Linked DNA regions of Rhinolophus ferrumequinum. The protein of the gene in region 2 interacts with the protein of the main gene of each other region in a pairwise test. Links are inferred from orthologs where the notes say so. Each region holds a gene or a part of one and is shown on either strand. Other genes may lie near its edges.

Evidence for each region.
Region 1: the proteins of ZXDC (region 2) and WDR5 interact in binary tests that used the Homo sapiens proteins (3 or more experiments, as listed by UniProt). The link is inferred for Rhinolophus ferrumequinum from reciprocal best matches to the Homo sapiens genes ZXDC and WDR5.
Region 3: the proteins of ZXDC (region 2) and POGZ interact in binary tests that used the Homo sapiens proteins (3 or more experiments, as listed by UniProt). The link is inferred for Rhinolophus ferrumequinum from reciprocal best matches to the Homo sapiens genes ZXDC and POGZ.

What each region holds. Positions count from the first base shown.
Region 1 is NC_046295.1:81,292,524-81,299,569, reverse strand, and holds the start of WDR5 (WD repeat-containing protein 5), read right to left. Parts: upstream 3,039-7,046; 5' UTR 2,883-3,038; intron 2,444-2,882; exon of another isoform or gene 2,289-2,443; intron 1-2,288.
Region 2 is NC_046302.1:3,197,939-3,205,593, forward strand, and holds the start of ZXDC (zinc finger protein ZXDC), read left to right. Parts: upstream 1-4,629; 5' UTR 4,630-4,707; coding exon 4,708-5,659; intron 5,660-7,655. UniProt on the Homo sapiens protein: Cooperates with CIITA to promote transcription of MHC class I and MHC class II genes.
Region 3 is NC_046305.1:51,432,398-51,440,447, reverse strand, and holds the start of POGZ (pogo transposable element with ZNF domain), read left to right. Parts: upstream 1-5,035; 5' UTR 5,036-5,374; intron 5,375-6,272; exon of another isoform or gene 6,273-6,413; intron 6,414-8,050. UniProt on the Homo sapiens protein: Plays a role in mitotic cell cycle progression and is involved in kinetochore assembly and mitotic sister chromatid cohesion.

The DNA.
Region 1 (7,046 bases), on a different chromosome or scaffold from region 2:
GCCAACAGCTCGAAAGGCTCTCTGTCCTGGTGAGGCAACCACGAGACTCGGCCGGACAGCCCAAACCAGAGCCAGGCCTGCCTGCTGAGGCCTGAACTATGCACAGATCCTGTGCAAGCAAGACGCTGCAGAGGAGGGGAAAGACTGCAGCTCAATTAGGGTTCACCACTGACAGCGGCAAGTACCCAAAAGCTGTGCGTAAGCGACTGTTTCCTCTCACAGGAACAGGTTCCATTCCGTAGACATACCGCACAGCACACTAGGTAACTCTGCAAGTAGGGGAAGCGTTATTTAAAAGGAGAGCCACCAAGACGTTCTTGCAACTATCACTGGCCGTCCGGCTCCTGGAGCTGGCACCATCTTTAATAAGTTTATACACTGGGAATTTTCACTTGGAGCTTCAAACTGAAAGCTTGCACAAACCCCGCCTCACACCAAGGTGAAATGGAAGCCACACACAAAAAAGAGCACGCCTAACGTCTTCATCCAAGAGGGGAGGGAGACAAATAACAACGTAGCACAGCTGTGCAGGGCCCACGGGCAAACATGGCTGTTTACCTGGAGCAAGACGGATCCCACTGCGCCCAAAGCCCCGGTACTTGAGTGGAGAGAGAAGGGGCAGGTTGGGTAAACATGCCAGGGGCCAACGTGCTGGCACACAGCTGATGCTCAGTAAATGCCAGCTGCACGGTGCTTATCCTTAGCCCCAGTGCCGCCTTCCTAAGTGAGCTGGCCAAGGGCAGCGAAGGGAAGGGCTAGGGAAGAGAGCTGGAAGTCTGCTTCACAGAACCCGGCATTGAGGGAGCCAGACCAGGCAAGGGCTGAGACAGGTGGCCCGTGGGGTGCCCGGAGGAGCACCAGTGGGAACAGAAGAGGCTTCGTTTAGGGTGCACGGGCAGTTCAGGAGGCACAGAGCAGCTTCCTTTTAAAACTTGAGACCCACCAGGAGGCAGGGCAAAACCGGCTGTCCTCGGGTGAGGACCAGGGAATACAAATCGGTGGTCTTAACAGGTGCCCAACCCCTCCCCGCTCCAGCCCAACCCACCCACCGCTTGCGCTAGCAAAACATTAACAGGCAAAAATCAGCTGGACTCCTAAAACTAGATTTCTGGTCTCAATGCCCCAAGATTCTACCTAAGGGGGAAGGGGAAGCGTGACCTTTTTCATGAACATTCAGGTGAGTCTGCAACAGTTGTTTTGAGGCAACTGGGAGGCTGGTTAGGGACTGGCTCCGTAGGAAGGAGGGTCTGCGGTGAGCGGGAACAATTTGGAGTCCCCCTCCAGGGCACACGCTACCTGCCCCCTTAGGACGCACAGGTGTGCACCCAGGTGACCCTAACCACCCAGGGCCCGGCCGCCCACTCCTTGGAGTGCTCTCCTGACGCCTTGTAAAAAGCAGATTCCTGGGCTCCACTCCCGAGACTGGGCCCTCAGATGTGGGAAAACAAGAGGTAACTTGGGGACAAGAAGGTGGCCAGCCCCACCTGGGTCCTGGGACACACGCTTCCATTCTAGCTCACCTATCGTTCTATGGAGCCGGGCCAACCTGGGAGGCAGCGTCGGGCGCGACACCTGCCACACGGTTGGTAAATGGACATGAGGAGGAAGAAACAGCACGGCCAGGCGCATCTTTTCACATCACCCAAGATGGCTCTAGCGGACCGGACTGAAACCTCAGCGAGGCCGGAGTCGTCTCTCCCTTCCTGACAGCGGGCCCGCACCCGAGGGACCCCATCCTGGGACCCCGGGCTCTCGGGAGAGCGAAGGCCTGGCTGCCTCGACGGAGCGTGAGCAGCGGGTCGGGGCAGGGGCGTTTCTGCAGGAGGCAGACGAGTCTGCGCGCCCCGTCCAGGCGCCGTTGGCCCGGGTGGGTCTGGGCTCTTCCTTGGGAGAAGCCGCGGAGACAAGGGGCGATGCGGGCTGGCTGCAGGGAGACGTCGCAGCCCCCTGGCTGATGGCTTGTCATTAGACCATTGAGGACCGGCCGCATGGATGAGCGCCGGGAGTCCCGGGAACCGTTGGGGATCCGTCTGGAGAAGCAGAACGGGACCTCCGCGGGCGGGGCTCCGGTAAGCGGAGGGGGCCGTGCCGGCGGGGCTCAGGGCAGATACCCGGAAAGCGAGGCGGCGTGGGCCCGTGGGGCGTCTGCACCGAGTGGCCCCGGCAGGCCGGGACCCCGGGCCGAGGCCGAGCCCGCCGGAACACGTGCGGAGGCGGCGGTTTGGGGTGCAGCGGCGTCGGCCCCCCACCCTATGCGCGTGTCCGCAGGACGGGCGGCCCCCGCTTACCTGACGGGCCGCAGCGGGCGGGAGCGGGCGCTCCGGGAGTCGCATCAGCCGCCGCCTGGGCGGGAGCCAGGCCGAGCTCGACGAGGCGGCACTGGGCCGGCAGTGCGCGTGCGCGTGCGCGTGCGCGAGGGACCGGAGCGGCATTGGGGCGGGGCAAGAGCACAAAGCCGGCCTTTCGGAGGGGCGCTACGGGGAGCGGCGAGGGGCAGAATGCTTCGGGCACGTCCAACGCCTTAAAGGGACAGCGTGATGCGCGCGCTTCCTGCTTAAAAGCGTTAACCCCAAAGGTGGCCGGTGCAGGCCGTTCTTCGCCTGCACTTTCTACACACTGAAGTATAAAGACACTACAGAAAAGTGCTAGTGTGTCCCTCGAATGCTCACATCCTGAGCTCGCCCTGTAGCGACGCTCCCAAGGAGGAGCAGATCTCCCCTCCGGGAACCTAGGGCCAGCGAGGGCCCCAATGTTTCTTCTGGGATCGCGTCCGTCCTGTTGATGGGAGCCGCAGCGTTCAGAGCCCGGCCCTGCCCTGGCCTTCCTCTCCGCGGAGTGTCTCCATTAATGGTCTGGACACCTCAGTAGACGGGGACCCTTACCTTCCCACTTTGCTGGGAGGACCCAGAGCTCCAAAAGGTCCCGAATGCCGGCACTCCGCCCACCCGCTCTCCCGCAGGGCGGGCTGCCTGCTTGGTGGTCTTCCTGCCTCTTCAGCGGAGAGCCCGCCCGGCGCACCTGCTTCTCTCCTGAGGCCCCCTACAAGGAGAGCCAATACGAACAGTCACTGCATGCAGACTGCGCTGCTGTCTGCAAGGTGATGTCACACACAGGTATCATCACCTCCAGTTACGAATGTGGAAGGGGCGGCCCAGACAGGAAGGCTCGAGGGCGTAAGGAGAACCTGGAGCCGCTGTTCTGGCCTTAAGTCCTGTGCATTCTCACCGCCCCGCCCCACTTCTGCTACCATATCGGTCTTAGAGTCTTGGGGGTGGTCAGGGTCTGACCTCCACGCCTCAACCCAAGCCCTGGGTACAATAACATGCAGTCTCTTATTTCCCAATGAAAAATGGGAACACCGATTATGACACAGGAAAGTGTGCAGACAAAAGGACAGAGCATTGAAAATGGAAATGTCCAGGGAAGTGAGGTGTGTGGTTGTTATAGACAAGGGCACCAAGACTGGTAGCTAGTCTGAAAGCCCCCACTTTAAGGAGGACGCAGGGGCAGCAAAGTCCCTGTCTGGCCCCAGCACAGCTCCGTGGATCTCTGTGCCCAGGAGGCCTATTCACCTGTGCCAGTACCCTGGAGCGTGAGACAGGTAACCAAATCTCCATAGTCATAAAGAGGGGGCACTTCCATCCACCTGCCTGCCTTGGTTCCGCCTCCCAACTGGCCTTTTTCAAACCTCTCTGAAGCAGTCAGAACTTCTAAAACGCCACCTCTGATCTGTCACCTGCTGGTTTAAGACTCAGAGCTGGCTTCCCATTGCCTTCGGGTCCAAATCCAAACTCTGCCATGGAATTTACCAGACGGGCCTCCCCGCCTAGCCTGATACCACCCCCAAACTGTGCACCCCAGGCTTCAGCCCCAGATCCAAAGTATAATATATTTCCCAGTCCTCCAACCCTGCAGGGGGAGCAAGACATGGGTCCTGACCACAGAACTCAAACCAGATTCCCAGGTAAATTGGTCTCACCTCCAGCAAAAATGAGAAAATCCTCTAACTTTGTGGAGTGTTTTTTCAATCCATTCCTGCAGTCATAAGGAAAATCCTGACAACAATACAGCAGGTAAAGCAATTCAACAAAAACTTTAAAAACTTGTCTAAGTTTTAAACCCTTTTCTATCCCTCCTAAGATGTTATCAGACTCAGAAAAATCATGAATGGAAGTTGAACAAAGCATAACAACTACAGAGAAGGGGAAAGCATTTTGGAGATTTGTTTTTTCAGAACGTTAACTGTGCTTTGGCCAATGGGAGCGAATTGGAAAATGAATGTGTTTTCATGAACAATTTTTATAGATACGACATTTCTCAAGGCTGCGCCATCAACCAGACAATATGAACCTCTCTGGGCACCCTCTCCCCTCAACCAGGTCCTTCCTCCAGGCTCTCTTTCTGAGAGCCTTCCTCCCGCCCCAGCCAATGTCCGCTTGGGCTTCTTTCTCTGATCCCCAAAACTAGTGAGTCTTCCTGGCTACATTCCCCCCGCCTCCATATCCTCCCAGTGGAAACGCTCATCTTTCTTTGTGATTGCTGGTTCAGTGTCTCCTGGTTGAGCTGGGTTGGAGTCTTCCTCACAGCACTCTTGGCAGGTGTCACAGGACGACAGAAGGAAAAGGAGGAGGAGGAGGACCTGTATGCTCAGTTCTCCAGTAAGTTTGTCACATGTCATCTCCTTGCACCTTCACAACAAGCCTATAAAAGGGGTGCCTTTATTCCTTTTGATAATGAAGAAATGGAGGCTCCGAGAGGTTAAGAAGCTTCCCAAGGACCCCCATGCAGCAGGCACAACCCTGGACATCAAGGCAGAGCCTGCACGCCCAACCACCCGACTACACAATATACAGTGATGCTTATCAATGGATGGATGGATGGGTGATGGATGCATAGATGTATAGTGGATGGATGGATGATGGATGAGTTAATAAGTGAAAAGCAAGTGATGACGGTTGAAAGAAGAGAGCAACCTGTGTCAACAGGAATAGTCAGGGAGGCTCTATGGCGGTGGCAGAGCTTAAATTAAGTACATTACCTTCTCATGGGACTTGAAGCTTTTGAAAAGCCATCTTTAGTTATCCAGTGATAAATATTTCATCAGGGACATTGGACTGCTAAACTCAAGAGCACTGGCCAGGAGGTGGCAGAAGAACAGACCACATGTCACAAATGCTGTGGTGTCCCCACAGCAGGCAGCAAGCTGGGTGGGGAGCACTGGCCCTTTAATTGCCAAGCCCACAGCTTTGGATTCCGATGGCAGTTGATGAGGGAGGGTCTTGGAAGACGAGGGACACAGGATGCCCAGCACTCAGAGCTTCCAGGAGTTGTTCACCAGATTTCTACACTGGACAGTCCGCCTACGCTGGGCCATCATTCCAGGTTGCTGCTGACGCTGCCTGGAGACCCAGAGGCTCCCGCCGGCCCAGGTCAGTGGGGCTTTGTGTTAAGTTCCTTTTCCCGTGGTAACTACGCCAGGGCAGCTGGTTGGGAGATATGCGTCCCCAGGTCCCCTCCTCAGGCTCTGCTTTCCCTTCCTCCACACCCCTTCAGGGTCCATGAGGACAGGTGTTTTGCTCACCATCCCTCTGTCCCAGTGGGCCTTCAGGGAGCTGAGTCAGCTGGCCACTCCCTACTCTGGTATCCAGAAAGCCATTTCTAGTTCTAACTTTGCCACCATCCTTCTCTGTCTTCCCTGGCCTCAGTTGCCCAGGTACAGAAAGAGCAGGTTAGACAGGAAGAATGCATCAACTCTTGCCATCGACTCTGGGGTTTCTCCTAATTCGAATTCTCTCCTCCCACGGCCTTCACCCAGTGTGTACCCCTCCACCGTGGACCCGTCCCTTTGCTCCCTTCTCCCTCCCACCCACTAGTAAGCACCCCCAGCCTCATTTCCCCTGCATCAGCTCCCCTCCTGATACCCCCCTCTCTAAGGTGACCCCTCTAGATTGCCCTAGACCAGGGTGACCAGCGGCCCCGTGTGCCTGGCACAGTCCATCTTAGAACTGAAAACCCCCACCTCAGGCAGTCCCTCAGCTGCAGGGAAGCCCGGACCTGCCCTGTCCCTTCCTCAAGGTCCCCAGGCTCAGCCCTAGGCCACCTCCCATGCTGCTTCTGTCCCTTCCCTTCCTGGCCCTGCCTGTGCCCTGGCCGTCATCAGGGTCCCTTCACTTGTCCACCCCCCTCACTATTGCTGACTCGTGGGAGCAGGGTCAGCTTGTCCAGGCCACATTGACTGCTCGGAGAGGCACACAGTAGGTGCTTAATAAAGACCTTCCCAATGAATGAATCCTGGAATGTTCGCTCTCACTTCCTGTTGGATTTAAACGTATCCTAACTTGCCTCAAAGTCCCCACAACGAAATCTGTTTGCCCTCAGCTTCCACCAGACTCCAGGTCTGGAAGCCCTGGACGGCCCTTCCAGGCAGTGCTGGGTGTTCCGGTCACCAGTCAAGCCCGGTGTCCTGGAGCAGGAATCCCTGGAATGCAGCTCCCACCTCCCAAGTCAGGCCCCACCTGTTCCGATCTGGTCTGTAAATCCCTTCCCCAGCCGGCCTGGGCTTTTATCCCCCTGGTTAGAGAGGGGTCCTGACAAGTGCAAAAGAAACAGCTCCTATGTCTGGCAGGTGGAAATCAGAGGCCCCCCAAAGCCAAGGGGTTTTATTCAAAGGCTTCAGATTTTTTGGGGGTAGTGAGGATAGGGGGGGTTGAGCAACAGTGGTTGGGAGGGGCATTTTTAAGGAATATAAATTTGGCTGCTAGTATGCCACCTGTGTTCCCCTGTCACATCAAACTATTTCCATTTGTCCTTGTTATTAAAAACCACTGCAGCTGTTCTTCCTGAGCACCTACTGTGTGCCTTTCACTTGCCAAGGGCTTTAAATACAGTCCCCTTAAATCCCCAACAGGGATTTAGTTGAAAGCTATTCTGATTTTACAGATGAGGAGAATGGAGGCTCAGACAGCCTCAGTGACTTGCCCAGGGCCACGTGGCAAGTAAGAGCTGGGACTTGACCTTGTTCTTTCACCCCGTCCCTGCATATTCCC
Region 2 (7,655 bases):
ATTCGGTACCTTCGCCCCACCCCTAATCAAGCTGAAAGGAGTTGGCTTCAAGTGGCCGCATGAAGTCCTAGAGGGACACGGGTCGCGCTTTACCAGACTTCTCCTTTAGGCTTCTCCGGAATTGCTGTTCCGGACGCGACTGTTTCCAAAGTTCCAACAAGAGTGCATTGGGTTGTCAGTCTATTTTTTCCCGATGGACCCCTGCTGCCACGAGATCATGCCACATCTGTGCGCATGTTACTCTCTGAGGCCCGCAACCTCGCCGCTTTACTTTTGATTTGGGCTTCCAGGTCTCAACTGCGCGGACCTCCTGTCTTAACCTCCTTCGCCTCCGGCTTTCAACATCCCTTAGGGTGGCCATGGCAGTTGTAACTTCATGGATCCGTCGCCCCACATAAAGTGTAAGAATGGCAACCAAGGATCCAAAAGCACTCGCAGGTGCAGTATCCAAAATCAGATCTCTCATGCTGGCTGTAAAAAGCTCATCATCTAGCCACCGCATATTAGGGTTGAAAATAGCATGTCTCATACCCATTTCTTGGATGATTTGAGTAAGTTCTGTATATGACTGCCATTTACTCACAGTGTCAGGCAGCTCGCCAGCCTGTCCCCATACTGTGCGTACCGCAGCAGTGAGCCACTCCATTAGAGTGTGGTTGCCCTGGTCTTGGGCCAACCTATGGCAGTTCTGTAACCTTTGTCGCAGGGACGGATGCACTGTCACAAAGGCTAGCTTTTCCATCTCACCTGGGGAGCAGAGAATATTGTCTGCTCCCTCATCCCATAAACGTAATAGCCAAGCCGAGACTGGCTCTCCAGGGTGCTGTCTGTACTGCCTCCCCAGCTCCTGCAACTCAGTGGGAGTGTAAGGGGTGTAGGTTGTGAACTCATGGCAGCTGGGTTGCCTGTAGCAACGCCCCCGGGGAGCAAAGGTTGCTCACGTTTTACCCTTTGCTTCAAGATTGGCTGGGCTTGGGGGTTGGGAGCTACATTGTCTCCACTGGCTTCCTCCGCCTCTGCCTCAGAGTCTCCACCTTGGGGCCCCTCTTCTAACAGGCGGACCTTGGCTTCCAGTGCCTCCAACCGGGATACCTGGTCGGGCACCTGGGCCATTTCATTATGCGTATTTTCCGTGTTGAGACTCAAGGCTGTAAGGAACATCCAGCCCATGTGGCCGGCTGTAGCATTTGCCTCCTCCGACAACTGCTCAGCTAGAACCTGCAGGGCCCTCTCCACGCTGGCCAGAGAGCCGTCCATGTCCTCCCCCCCCCTCCTTGGGGGTACAACTCCTGAGAACAGTGGCCACCGGGCACCACACACTATGTGGGGGCCACACGTCCTCCTGCCCAGAGTCAGACTCCATTCCTACCTGGTCGGAATCCTACTTGCTGTGCCAGGTGTCTGGGTGGGTGGAGGCCTCTGTGTAAGATGTCCACAACTCTAGGAGCCCAGGGCAGCAGCAGACTACCAAAAGTAAGATGACACTTGCTCTGGCCAACACAGCAGCGTGCCATCCCGAGGTTTGAGTCTCCCAGGCAGACCGTGCCTCCCGTTCCCGGTGTTGCTCCTCACGGGCCTCCTGAGACTCAGTTTTCACACGCACAAACTGTTCCACCATCCTTCGGTAAGTTTTGGCTGGCACCACACCCTGCTCGCAAGGCCATTTGTCGTGCGAGGCGGCCTGCGGGGCCTCTAGTCCCGCTCTTCACATAAGAACGCAAGACATGGTGAGGCCATAAAGGAACACCCACAGAGCCATAGGTAGGGGAGTCATACCACTATAGTCTCACTGGCGGCACTGTAGTCTCACTGGAGGCTGGAATCACACGCCCTGCAACCTGCTGTCCACTTCTCTGTCTGCCAACCGACTGACTCTTCCAACCAACGCAGCCACGGCAGTTATATCAGTGGCTAATTGGCTAACTGGTTACAGCTGATGGCCAACTAACCACAGCTGACGGCCATCTACTACCTGAACCAGCACCTTTCCATGTGAGGCCGAGAGCCTGGAAACTGCTCTCTGGGACTCTGTCCCCACCCTGGGTCATATGGAAATTCTATACTTAACTTTTTTAGGAACTGCCAAGCTTTTTCCCACAGTGGCATCACCATTTTGCTTTCCCACCTGAAATGTATGAGGGTTCCAATTTACCCACATCCTCACCAACACTTGTTCTTTATAAAAAAAATTATAGGTGATAGATAGTAGGGGGTTTGGGGGCAGGGTGAAAAAGTGAAGGGATTAGGTACGAATTGATAGTTACAAAAGTCATGGAGATGTAAAGCATATGCAATCTAGTCAATAATATGATAATAGCTATGTATAGTGCCAGATGAGTACTAGTTAGGGGATCACTTCTTAACTTATACAAATGTCTAACCACTATGCTGTACACCTGAAATTAATATAAAATAATATTGAACGTTAACTCTAATTGAAAAATTTAAAAAATTAGGGAAATGGTGAAGGGGAATAAAAGGTTCAAATTTCCACATATAAAACAAGTAAGTCATGGGAATGTAATGAACAGCATGGGAAATGTAGTCAATAATATTGTGATAGTGTGGTACAGTCAGATGGTTTCTGGACTTATTATGGTGATCACTTCTTTAGGTATCTAGATGTTGAATAATTATCATGTAACCTGAAACAGATATAATGTTGTATGTTAGCTATATTTTTTAATAAAAAACTTTTTAAAAATTTAAAAAAATTATAGGTATCTTAGTGGGTGTGAAGTGGAATCTCCTTGTGGTTTTGATTTGTGTTTCCCTAATTGTTAATGATGTTGAGGATGTTTTCATGAGCTTCTTGACCATTTGTATTTTTTTATTTGGAGAAATGTCTATTTAAATCCTTTATCTAGTTTAACATTTTTGTTGTAGAATTGTAGGATAGATCCTATGATTTTTAAAATATATTCTGGATAGTAGATCCTTAGCAGATATATGATTTGCAAACTTCTCTCCCATTCTGTGGATTGTCTTTTCACCTTCTTGTTGGTGTTCTTTGACCCAAGAGTTTTTAAGTTTGATGAAGCCCAATTTGTTTCTTTCATTGCTTGTAGTTTGGTTTCATATTTAAGAAACCATTCCCTAATCCAAAATCACACAGATTTACACTTATGTTCTCTTTTAATAGTTTTAGAATTTTAGCTTTTACATTTACATCTCTGATCTATTTTAATTACTTTTTGTATATGGTTTGAGGTGGGGGGGTCTAAATTTTTAATATGTGGATATACAGTTGTCACATTACCATCTGTTGAAAAGATTATTCTTTTCTCCATTGAATGGTCTTTAAAACAATATATTTTTGGCATAAATACATACATATACAGATATTTTCTATTCTTTTCAATATTATTGATGTACTTATTTTTAAAGTTTATTTAATAATAAAACATTCATCTATTCAATAAATATTTACTGAGAGTCTTTGCTGCTAGCATCTGGGCATACAGATGTGAGTGGTACTGACACAGTGCCTGTCCTCACAGAGTCTGCATTCTGGAGGAGGGCACAGACAATGGATTAACAGAGAAAGGGACAAATAAAAACAGTTGCAAGTGAGAGTTATAAGAGGAAACAAAAGGGGGAGGTGGAGAATAAGGGTGTACTTTGGATCTTAAGGCCAACCAAGTCTTCCCAGAGGAATTAGAGACCAGCTGTGCAAAGATTCTGAAACTGTAAATAGTTTCGCCTTTTGGAAAAACTGGGAAAAAGATGGGGGCACTGAGATTGCAGAGGGCTAAAGTGGTGAGAAATGAGGGCAAAGAGGGAAAGGAAGGGAAGATCAGCAAGGCCATAAGAGAAATGGGGAGCACACAGTAGAGGAGCATAACTAGATTTGCATTTTTGGAAGACTATGAGAGACTGCCCTGTAGATTGGGTGGAGGGAGTGGTGGATGGAGGTTGAGGACCAGCCTATGGAGTATTTTCTTAAGAACTCTGAGTGAAATAGGGGTTTGGATCTCGGTGGCTGTGATATGAAAAATTGGAGGGACTCCAGATTCAATCTGGAGGCATGGGGTTAGGGGAGGGAGGCAGGGCAACAGCTGAATTGAGTCAACAATGAGTAACAGGGCTATGGTGTGAGATTGTGTGAAGTTTATTGGGAAGTGCAGTTGGAAGTGTGCGCAGAAGTCCAGTCAAGGAGGCCCTGTGTGCCAGGAAAGGATGTGGGGTCACTGCAAGAGAGGTCGGTGGCCAGAGGTCAGCAGTGGGATGGTTCGCAGTTTAGTCAGCTCCCTAAGGAAGTTGTCCAGCCCCGTTGTCAGGAACTAAATGTTCCAACCCTGGCTCTCCCAGTTCCTGGCTGTGCGATCTAGGTCAAGGGACTCGAGCTCTCTGTGCCTCAGTTTCTTCACACTTGTGTGAACGGTGCCAACTGCAATCATTAAACCAGATGAAACACGATTGCTCTAAGTCAGGCTAGCCTACTTCCCAGGTAGGGAATCAGACCTCAGCTCCCCAGGACTGGGATTGGCCCACGGTCCCCGGCCTCACGGAGCGGCCCTGACGTCACGCGGCCCAGTAGGCCCGCGCCCCGCCCCGCGGATCACGCGCACGCGCGGCTCCGGGTCGCGCTCCGCGCCGAGCTTTGGCGTCGATCCGTCGGGGCGGCCGCACGGCGTCGCGCACGCCTGGGCGGGGCACAGCGCGCTTCTTCCGAGCGGCGGCTGCGACGCCCCAGCTGGGCCCAAGATGGACCTCCCCGCGCTGCTCGCAGCTCGGAGCCCGCGCGGAGCCCAACATGGCGGCGGCGGCGGCCCCGGCGGACTCTGCCGAGGCCCGGGGCCGCCGCCCAATCCGAGTCCCGCGCGCCGCCGCCTGCTGCTGCTGCGGGGTCCCGAAGATGGCGGGTCGGGGCCGGGACGAGGGGAGGCCCGGGCGGCGGCTGCGGGCCCCGGGCCGAGCCCACCGCCCCTCGAGGACGGCGGAGAGTCCTTCGTGGTACTGCTGGAAGTACCGCGCAGCGCCGCTGCCGAGGCCCCCGAGCGGCGGGAAGCTGAGTCTGACTTCGGCACGAGCCCCGCCGGCGGCCCCCAGCAGGGCCCCAGCGGTTCGGCCGCAGCCCCGGGACCCAGCGCGGCCCTCGCGGGCACAGTCACCATCAGCAGTCAAGACTTGCTGGTTCGCTTCGACCACGGCGTCTTCACGCTGGCGGCCGCGCCGCCGCCGCCCGGCCCACCCGCGCCGCCGGGCGACGAGGCCGCCAGCCCGGCCGAGGGCCGCCGCGGGCCCCCGGCCCCCGGCCCCAGCGCACCCGGATACCGGTGTCCCGAACCGCAGTGTACGCTCTCCTTCGCCAAGAAGCACCAGCTCAAAGTGCACCTGCTGACGCACGGCAGCAGCCAGGGCCGGCGGCCCTTCAAATGTCCCCTGGACGGCTGCGGCTGGGCCTTCACCACCTCCTACAAGCTTAAGCGGCACCTGCAGTCTCACGACAAGCTGCGGCCTTTCGACTGCCCGGTGGGCGGCTGCGGCAAGAAGTTCACCACCGTGTACAACCTCAAGGCGCACATGAAGGGACACGAGCAGGAGAATCTGTTCAAGTGTGAGGTGTGCGCCGAGCGCTTCCCCACGCATGCCAAGCTCAGCTCCCACCAGCGCAGCCACTTCGAGCCCGAGCGGCCCTACAAGTGTGACTTTCCCGGTAACCGCGGGCCTGCGGGCGGGCTGCGGGGGGCTCCCGGGACCCCAAGTCCAAATTCAGGCGCTCAGAGTGGGTGCGGCGGCGCCCTGCCCCCGGCTGTTAGCTTGGGCAGGATTTTAACTCAGTGGGCCAAGGCTGAGGGGCGGGAGCGGAAGCGCGCCGGGGTCTGTGTTGTAGCTCTTCCCAGGGCATCTGAACCCTGCATTGCTGCGGGGGTTTCGACAGCGAGGTAGCACAAATAATCAGACGTACTTCCCCATGGTGGAGGCAACAGATGTGCCGACGGGGCTTCCGGTTAACGAAAGAAAGAACTGCACCTTCCCAGAGATTTTTTACCAGGTTTTTATTTTCCTCGGTCTCGTCACTTAAAAATACTCATCAGATATTTACGGGGCACACACTCGGTGCTAGAGGAAAACATGAATAGCCAGGTGTAAGACCTTAAAGTGGTGTAGTACAGTTTTTGTGCCCACTATGCTTTCCTTTGGACTTCACAGTTTCGTGAAGTTCTAGAAAGCATCCTCATTTCACAGATGAAGTGTCTGAGGCCTAGCAATGTGGAAAAAAATCCAGTGGTGGCTCTTTCTCTAGTGATTCCCTTCCATGCTGGGGAGATAAGGCTTCAACACTGAACTCTTCACCAGAATGGGCAGGTTTAGGTGCCCCAAGAAAGACAGTGCCTCTAGGGAGGAAGAGAAGATTTCTACATAGGAAGGAGTTGGCTTGGGGGGACTAGGGTAGGAGGCAGTGCAGGTGGGTGAAACTGCAGAGCTGAGGCAGGGAATGTGGGTTGTGTTTAGGGTGGGGGAGGGCCAAGCAGAAGGTGAAGGACCTTCTGTGGCCTCTTCATGAAAACAAAAAGGCAAGCGTGCCCTTAGCATGAGCCCTGTGTGTATTGACATGCTATATACACTCAGGGCTCTCCTAATGTATACGTTATAAAATATACTCTAGGGACTTTGAAAGAGTGAAATGAAAAATACTAACAGGTTCCAGTATTTTCTTCCCATGTGCTGTGAATTGTCTGGTGCGTTTTTGTGGGGAACGTAGCTTTAGGCCACTAATTGGAAACCTTTTTCAGTCATGTACTTGGGGATCTGACAGTGGCTTAAAAACTTCCCTAGTAAAATGCATAGAGAGGATGACTCTGACAAGATCAGGAATCCAGCCTGCTTTAGGGCATGAAGTCTTCCTGAGGATTTTGAGTTGGCTGATCAGTGTTCAAGATGGATAGAAGCGGGAGAGGGATCAGTGAAGCCCCATGGAATGTTCCAGATAAGAGTTTCTTGAGGACTGATCTAGGCAGTAGCAGTGGGAATGGTAAGGTGGCTCCGTGTAGGAAAGATGCAGAGGCAGAATCAAAGGGCTGGGTTGCAGATGTGGGGAGGGTAGTTTTCCAGCATGCTCAGATTTACCTGACTACACCAAAGCCTGAAACAGGGAAACGGGGGGTGGGGGGGGGGCAGATTTATGGGAAAGAGGATGATTTTAGGGCATTTAGGGAGATTAGCATTTCCCAGTTCAGTGTTGCTGGGAAGAACAGGGTTCCTTGGGCCAGTCAGTACTTTTATGTGGTGCTGTGCAGTGTGTATCTGCTGGGTGGTTTACGTTTACAGTCACTATGGTAGCATGTTAAATGCTCTTGAGAAGAGCTGCAACAAAGACACCTGATAAGCATCTTGCAGGTTGATATTTTCCAACTTATTTGAACACTGAATGTATTTGCCAAAGGAGAACCTACTGGTGTGGAAAGTAATAGGAATTGCTCAGGTAGGCTCCTTCGGCTGGTGGCTCAGCTGGGTGCTGAAGATATTGGTGATATGAGTGAAGATGACCCTGGTAACTTCCTTTGACAGAGCAGGGAACCCTGAGGTAATGGGCAAAAGGAAAAAGAGAAGCCAGATGACAGAGACAGGGGCTGCCAGTTGCAGAGGATGTCAGGGAGGACATTTATGAGTGTAGAGGTGGTGAAAAAGTCTCATATATTACCATGTGG
Region 3 (8,050 bases), on a different chromosome or scaffold from region 2:
AGAGGCTGCCAGGAAGCAGGGTCCCTAGGAAAGAGGAAACTCACATTCACACCTGACTCACAGTGCTTACACACCAATGCATTTCAACACAAACCTAGAAGTGAGAATTATTTCCCGGATGAATGAAGGTTAAATGATTTTAAATCGGTGAGTTTTGGCTCTTTCACATTTTCAGATTTTATTACCCATATGTTTCAGGCAATAGTAAAGACATTAAAAATGAATCCTTGAGTGTTTTAGGAGATGGGCTCCTTGCTACTTCTCAATCCTACTGTACGTGCTCAACAATAAGAGACCCAAAAGGATCTGACCACTGCTCTACACCAGAAACCTTTAAAACTTATTCTGGAGGATACTTCCGTCTTCTTACCTGTAAAATAATATTAATCCTTATGTCCTTCAAAAGAATGAACCGGGAAGTTATTTAATATCCACAGTTGTGGTCTGGAAATTATCCAGGACTATAATAAAATACAAACACTGCTAAATTAGAAAAGCATGTATCCTAGAGAAAAAAAAGAATTTTAATTAAATTTTACTTTGCAATCTATTATAATGAACAAGCCACATAACAAGTGTGTCTGTAAAGGAAGCCAATTCCTTTTTCCATGAAGCTGTATGGAATCAATTCAATTACTTTATAATCATACCTGCTCAACTCCACAGCAACAACCTAGATATATAGCTTTGCTAATGGGTGTCTCTTTGATAATATTAATTTAATTCAAAGTTTAACTAAATCATTATCTCCCATGAAATCATACCAAAACTTACAGAGAAATCTTGATGACTGATGCAGTTGCTGCTCCTGTGTTTCTTGCAAAATATATTTTGAAGACGGAGACCTTCAATTGCTTCTTACTGAAGTCTCATGGGGAACTCTTCTTTTAAATACCCAGTCTGAAAGTTCCTCTGGCTATTTCTCACCTCCTGAGAATTTTCTGAGCCCCTAGAAAAGTCCTCAACTCCTCTAAACATAAGGAGGCAGCAAATGATTTACTTAAATAAAATCCAGCAGTAGTCCCCGAATTCCCCGTTGTTTATTTGACACCTGGTCAAACACAGATCTTCACCTGCCCTTTATTTCATGACAGTTTCCCTGCTAAGCAAGGCATTTCGGAGTCCTCCTTTCCACCCCTATGTGTTGATTTCTCTTGACTCCCAGGCTCAGTGCAATCTGCTGTCAACCTTTTTGAGCTGGGAGATGCTCAGATAGTGAAGATTTCGCCACTGTTTTTCTAGCTCTGAGGTCTTCCCAAATGAGTAGCTCCCTTTGAGCGCCTGGTTTCGACGACCCTGAGTGTGTGTTGTAGGGAACAGGATGCTGGTTTGTAAAGGAAACTTGGCATTCTCTCCCATGGAGCTGTTTTCTGCCTGGACTGACCTCACAATCCTCACAATCAGGTGACCACCCTGACACCTACCTGTCAACTTGACACTGAATCTGAGCAATCAGTGGTTGGGTCTGTATATTAGCAAAATGACAGCAGAGGGCCCCCATGGTTCACTGCTTTTGAAGACATGCTGAAATAATTTGTCTTTCTGCCTTGACACTCTCCAAGCTACAGGTGGTTCCAATTTTCAACTCGTGGCAGAAACCATAAGCCAAGGAAGCAAATAAGTGTTTCCATAAACGGTAGAAAAGAAATACTCTCCTGCTACCTACCTGTGAGATGCCCAACTTGGTACTTCCATTAACTTTTGACCTTCTTTCTAAGAAACTCATAAGGAGAGGATTCAATTTTTCTAAGTTGGCTACTGAAGACTGGGGTAGCTTTTCAGCAGCAGTATGGGGTTCCATTTCTTCAATAGGCCAGTCTGGATTGGCTTTCAGAGTCCTCCCCATTATGTTATAGAGGCGCACGCGAATGGATTTCTAAGGATTCCATCCAGGTCGTTGGTTCTGCTGCTTTGGTTTCCCATGAGTACCAAGATGGTTCAAACATAAGAGCGATCACAGCTATCAGTTCTGTTACTTCACTCTAGAAACTTGTGTGTTAGCTGAAGACAGGAACATGTCCCAGCTCTGTCCAAATTAATATGGGCATTCCCTCCTTAGCATGGGGAATACGTTTCTGGAAATGGGAACGCTTAGAGATGGTGCTCCAGTGTGCAAGGTGATAGAGTTTTCTTCACATCCTCTGAAGTTATACATGACTCTGCCCCAGCCATTCGACGATTGATAAGTCCTCCCAGACTGGAGCACAGTTGGGGGACGTTTTATAATGTCAAAGAGTTTACTCCATTCCCTGATTGTTCACCTTTACCCTGTTTCCCCAAACTTGTTCCTCAAAGGTATCTCCAGTCCCTGCAAAACTCCCATGTTAACATTCAGCACAATATTCTTTCTTTATTTCTTTGTGGCAGGCATAGCACCATCACTCACACACACTTTGTTAGCCATTACATGTCAAAACTGTCTCTCAGGGCACAAACTACATCATAGAAAAACGGGTCACAGAGTAGTAAGTCCCCAGCTCCCACCCTGGTCCAGGCCACCAACGTGTCTCACCTGCATTATTGTACTTGCCTCCCAACCTGGCTCTCTGTGGCTATCCTTGCCCCTACCAGTTTTTCTCTAGAAGCAGCGAGAATGATCCTTTAAAAGTGTTAGCCAGGTCATGTCAGTTCTCCGCTCAAAATCTTCCAATGGCTTCACTTCACTAAGAGTAAAACCTGAACTTGGTTTCACTTTCTTTAGATCTGTGCTCAAATGTCACCTTAATGACGAAGCCTCCTCCAACCACCCCACATAAAAATAACAATTTCCCCATCCCCTTCTTCAAAATCCCAATTCCCCCTATCCTGCCCTGTTCCCCATCTACAGCATCTATCATCACATCACATTTACATATTTATTTACAGAATGTGTGGCAGATCACTTTTTCCAAGATGGCCACAACAAGATTTCCCATTCCACACACTTTTCTGACCATGTGATGTTTCTACCACTCCCTTTGAGAGATGTTCCCCACCTGCCTTGAATTGGGGTGAGCCTGTAACTGTGGTGGAAATGATGTTATGTGACCTCTGAGGTTAGGTCACAAAAAAACCATGCAATCTCTGCTGGGTCCTCTCGGACCACACAATCTAGGAACTCAGCCACTATGACATGAGGAAGCCCCGGCCACAATGAGATACCAACAGCCAGCTGTTCTGGCCAACAGCTCTAGCTGCAATCCAAGCCAACAGTCATCAACTTCTAGACTTTTGAGGAAGCTTTTGAGATGACTTCAGCCCCAGCTACTGCCTGAGACTCCAAGTGAGAACTGCTTAGCTTAGCCTAATCATCTCCCAGAGCCATGAGAAATAATAATAAAATTGTTTTAGTTCTAAGCCAGTAAGTTTTGGAGCCATTTATTATCTAACAATAGATATCGGAACACTTTGTTTCTGTGTTGGTGCAAAGGTAATTGCGGTTTTTGCAATTATTTTTAACCTTGTAAACCGCAATTACTTTTGCACCCGCCTAGTATATTGTATGCCTCTCCTCACTAGAGGATGTTTCATGAGTTTAGGGATTTTGTTTGTTTTCTTTATTGCTGTATTCCCAGAACATAGAACCATACCCGGTATATAGCAAGTACTCAATAAATAATTGTTGAGTGAATGGATGCAGGATGCATTTTCAGTATGGTATGTGAAAGGTTATTGGTCAACAGTGTGTGGTCCAGTCTGTTGGGCTAGGCCTCATTGGCAGAGAGCGTAAGTTGGCACTTACAGCGTGGCAAAATATATGTTCCAACAAGACTACTTCAGAGGCAAATTACATTATAATAAGTTACAATAATTATTGCAGGAAAGCATAGAATGGGATTAGAGCTTCATGTAGAATTTGTCTTCTGCTGATTGATTCCATAATCTTACCCTAGGCTTCTCCAGATCAGGTCTGGAAAGGCTTCAGAAGTATTTTCAAAAGGATTAGTGCTTCTTTCCCTTCAGATAATGAAGTTCTTCTGAGAATGACCACGGAAAATCACTCACGTTTTTGGTATGAAATGGGATGAAGTGGAATAAGAACGGATGGTGGTATGGGAACTCATGTACATGGGTGTGCAATGTGGAAGGCCCCCTTACACTGCTTATTTTCCTAGTCTGGTGGTTTGAGTGCAGTGTGTGTGTTAACAGAAGGAAGAAATATGGTTCTGGATCTCCCCAACCTCGCACCAAGTACTGGATTTAGCATTTGGATTGGAGCAAATGTTTGTGTATTGCTTAGAGAGCAACATCCTCCTCAAATAGCCAAGGAAAATATTAGCGTTTTATCATCTCGGAAGGTAAGAAAGGACACATTTTCTTAGTTTCCTGGAAAAGAGGTTAGTTTTTGTCTGGGGGAAAATAACAGGTGGATGGTCTTGAATGGACTAAGCAATTTCTTTGGGCCAACCTACCTCAGCCTTGATTGAAGCAAAAAGCACAAATGTGGAGTCTATGGTTTCTTAGAATGGAGGGTCTTAGCTGAGTCTATTCACAATGGTTTCAAAGCAGTTTTCACACAAGAATCACCCTGATAAGCAATCATGTGTGGCTTCTTTTCAGAATCCAGAAGGGTTCAGGGTAAAATGGCTTTTAAAAGTTCTTCACTTCTGGCTACTACCATAAGGCTAATTGATTGAATCTCTTGAGGAAGTGTGCCATTTTGCTGCCTTTGTTCAAATGACAGTTGTTGGTGCCATTGGGCCTCACCATCTGGCCTGTGGCATGAGGTTCCCTTCTTGATTAGGTACAAGCCTTGGGTAGAAAGTGGGGAGATGCCCAAAATTTCCCTGGAAAGTCCAGGCAAGTGAATTGGGGAATATTTTCTTTGGAAATCCCATTATTCTAACCAAAATTTAGATATGGCTTCTGAAGCTAATTATTATTTCATTTAAAAAAAAAACAAACTGTTTTTATTTATTTATTTATTTGCAGGCCCAGGCAAACTTGACTAGAAAAGAAGCCCGGGCAGGGGTTAGGATGAGCCCATGACGTCCCCGGCGCCCCAACCAATTGAAAGGCCACGAAAAGGGGAGGGCGGAAGTGACGAGCCGTATCCCTCCGCGGGGCGAGAGGGTCGGTGGGGGGAGTCGGCGTCTCTCTCCCCCGCGCCAGCTCCCGTACACGGAGCCGCATTCCTTGGCCCCCCCACCCCCCTCCCTCGGGGCCCCCCGCCCCCCTCGGGAAAAAAAAACCACCTCAAATCACTCGAACCCGAGGGAGGTTTCCTTGCACCCTCAGGGAGACGAGCTTTGAACGGTCCCCTCTTTCCCTTCTTCCCCCCAAACCCCCGTTCCCTCCCCTGCTCCCACCCCCTTCTCCCGGCGCCGGGTGTAGGTCCCTTTAAGGCGACGGCGCCTTCCTCGGGTCAGACTACCGGCGGCGACGACCACGGGAGGTGAGTGAGCGAGAGCGCCTTCTCTCTCCCCACCCCCTTCTCCCGGGGGTTCCGTTATCTTTTCGCTCGGCGAGGCGTTCCGAGGCGAGACAATGAGAGGGGGATGGGGCGGCTACGCGAGGGGTGGGGGCGGGGGCCGGTAGCGCGCGCCCCCGCCCCCCTGTGAGTGGCGGCGCGGCCCGCGGCGGCGGGCGTGGGGTGCGGCGCGCGAGCGCGTGTGTGAGTGCGTGTGCCCCGCGAGCCGCGAGAGCCGCGCGGCGGACCGGGCCGCGGAGGCCCCTGCCTGCCTGCCTGCCGGCGCCCCCGCCCCCCGGCGCCCGCCGCGGCGCGCGCGCGCGCACTCGCGCCCCACGGCCCCGCACACACCCGACGTCCACACGCACGCCCGGCGCGAGGCGTCTCGGAGGAGTGGGCGGGCGCGGGCGCGGGCGGCTACCCGCTGGGGAAGGGGCGGGGGCGCTGGCGGCGGCGAGACGGCGGGGCGCGGCGGGAGGGCCGGGCCAGGGGGCGAGGCCGCGCCGGGGAGGCGGGCGGGAGGGGCGGCGGGGTGACGTCCCCGGGGTGGGGGAGTGCTCGGCCCCCCGCGCCCCCCGCACCCCGGGGAAGGAGTGGGGCGCTCTTTTTGAGCGCGAGGAGGAAAAGGAGTGATGGCTTAGCTGCTCCCCTGTGTTATGTAATCTCCACTCGGTCCGATAGTACATCCCAAGTCTTAGTTCACTGCAGTTACTTTCCCCAGTCTCCTCCCCCGGCCCCCAAATTTCTTTGGGATGGCGCCGTGATTTATAAAATGGGATGAGGCGGAAAAAAAATCTATTTTCCGATTATTATATCCTGCCGCGGTGGGCGCCATGTTTATTCTAGGGACTATTTTCTCTGGATTCTTAGCACCTATTGAAAAGGAGTGATGTTGATCCACCTGCTTTCCCTCCTTTCTGCGAGTTGTCCTGGTGTCTTCTCCCGTTAGACGCGGGATTCCCTCCAACTGTTGATGACACGTTTCTCTGCTCACTAGTCGTGGACATTCTTTGCTCAGAAAAAGGTAGAGCTGAAGAGCCTTGTAAATCATTGAGCCCAGTCTCATTTTTGAGGTGGAAATGGAGGTACCAAATTGAGGTGGTACAATCTCAGAATAGCCTTCTACCCTATGTAGACACCTCCCCCCGGAGCTCAAAACCCCACGTAACATACCAGCTATGTTGAAGGTGTATCTCAAACTAAAGGAGCTAACAAGGATGATTCTTAGCATGAACAGAATGGAGTTTTACTCTCAGGAATTTTCACACCTAGATGCAGGGGAAAGGAGGGGCTACAGAGGGCTGTTTCTTGGTGAAGGACGTTGAATTTCAAGACATACTGCTCTTCGGTCTGGAGGTTGGACTTTGAATTCGAACCACTTAGCACAAAAGTTAATTTCGGGGTGCATAAAAAGTACCTTAGAGATTGCCAAAAAGTGCAATTTTGGGGACCGCATCCCCAAGTCTGTTTGGGTGTGATGGGGAGGGAGGTGTCACCTCTACATTTTTAATCGGCCCTCCTTCAGCTGAGACTGATTAACGTAACTACCACATAGAGAACTATTGGTGTAGCATAAAGGTACTCAAAATAGAATCTTTAAACAGAATTAAATTGCAATCTGTGCCCTTGATTTCCTGCCCCTTTCCTATATTATGGTTATAACATACCAGCTATGTTGGGGGTGTGTCTCAAAACTAAATAAACTAAGGAATGAAGACTCTTGAACAGGATTTTGGTAGTGTTTCCATTCTCAAACTAAAGGAACTAACAAGGATGATTCTTATACCACCTTGAACCAGTGGTATAATTTAGGAAAGCGGTTCTCAAAGTGTCCACTGACACCTGGGGACCCCCTCATACCCTTTCAGGGGAGCTGTGAGGACATAACAATTTTTAGAATGACACTAAGACACTATTTTCTTCGCTGACGTTTGCACTCGTGGTCCAAAAGCAACTGGCGGTGCCTTAGCATAAAGCAAAGAAGTGGTGTGAAACTTGTACTTACTTGAGAATGTCCTTGATGAAGCAGTAAAAATGATTAATTTTATTAAATCTCAGCACTCGAGTACATCTTTTTAATTTTTTAAGAATCTATGATAAATTGGGAAGTGCGGGGTTGGAAAATTAAGTTTGCGAACTTGTTGCAACAAGGTGGCTAACCTTTTTTTGATATCAGAAGGATCATTCATTATGAATTTTACACAAAAAGCACTTATACTGCCTTCCAGGGTATGATCGTTGACTTGTGAGCTGAATGTTTCATGGAACAGCATTTTTACTTGAAAGAACGATTGACAAGCTAGTTTTTTACACTTGAGTGCGTGACGGATGTTTTCTTGAAAAATTAATGAAGTGAGCTTGTTACTTCCAGGAAAACAGTTGACAGTATTTGTTACCAATGATAAAAATTTGAGGGTGAAAATTAGAATTCTTTAAAAGTTGACATCTCAAGTTTGACAGTTTCCCAGTATTTAAAACTTTTCTTATAACAGCAACGTGAATGACTGTTTTTTTTAATTATTGTATAATGATGCATGTCAACATTTGGAAGATGGGCATAGCTCAGTAAATATGTATTTTCCAAATGACCTGTGCATGATGTTTCAGAATCACCATGGGTAAAAAATCCTTTGAAAATGCAGGATACACCAATGGATTTTA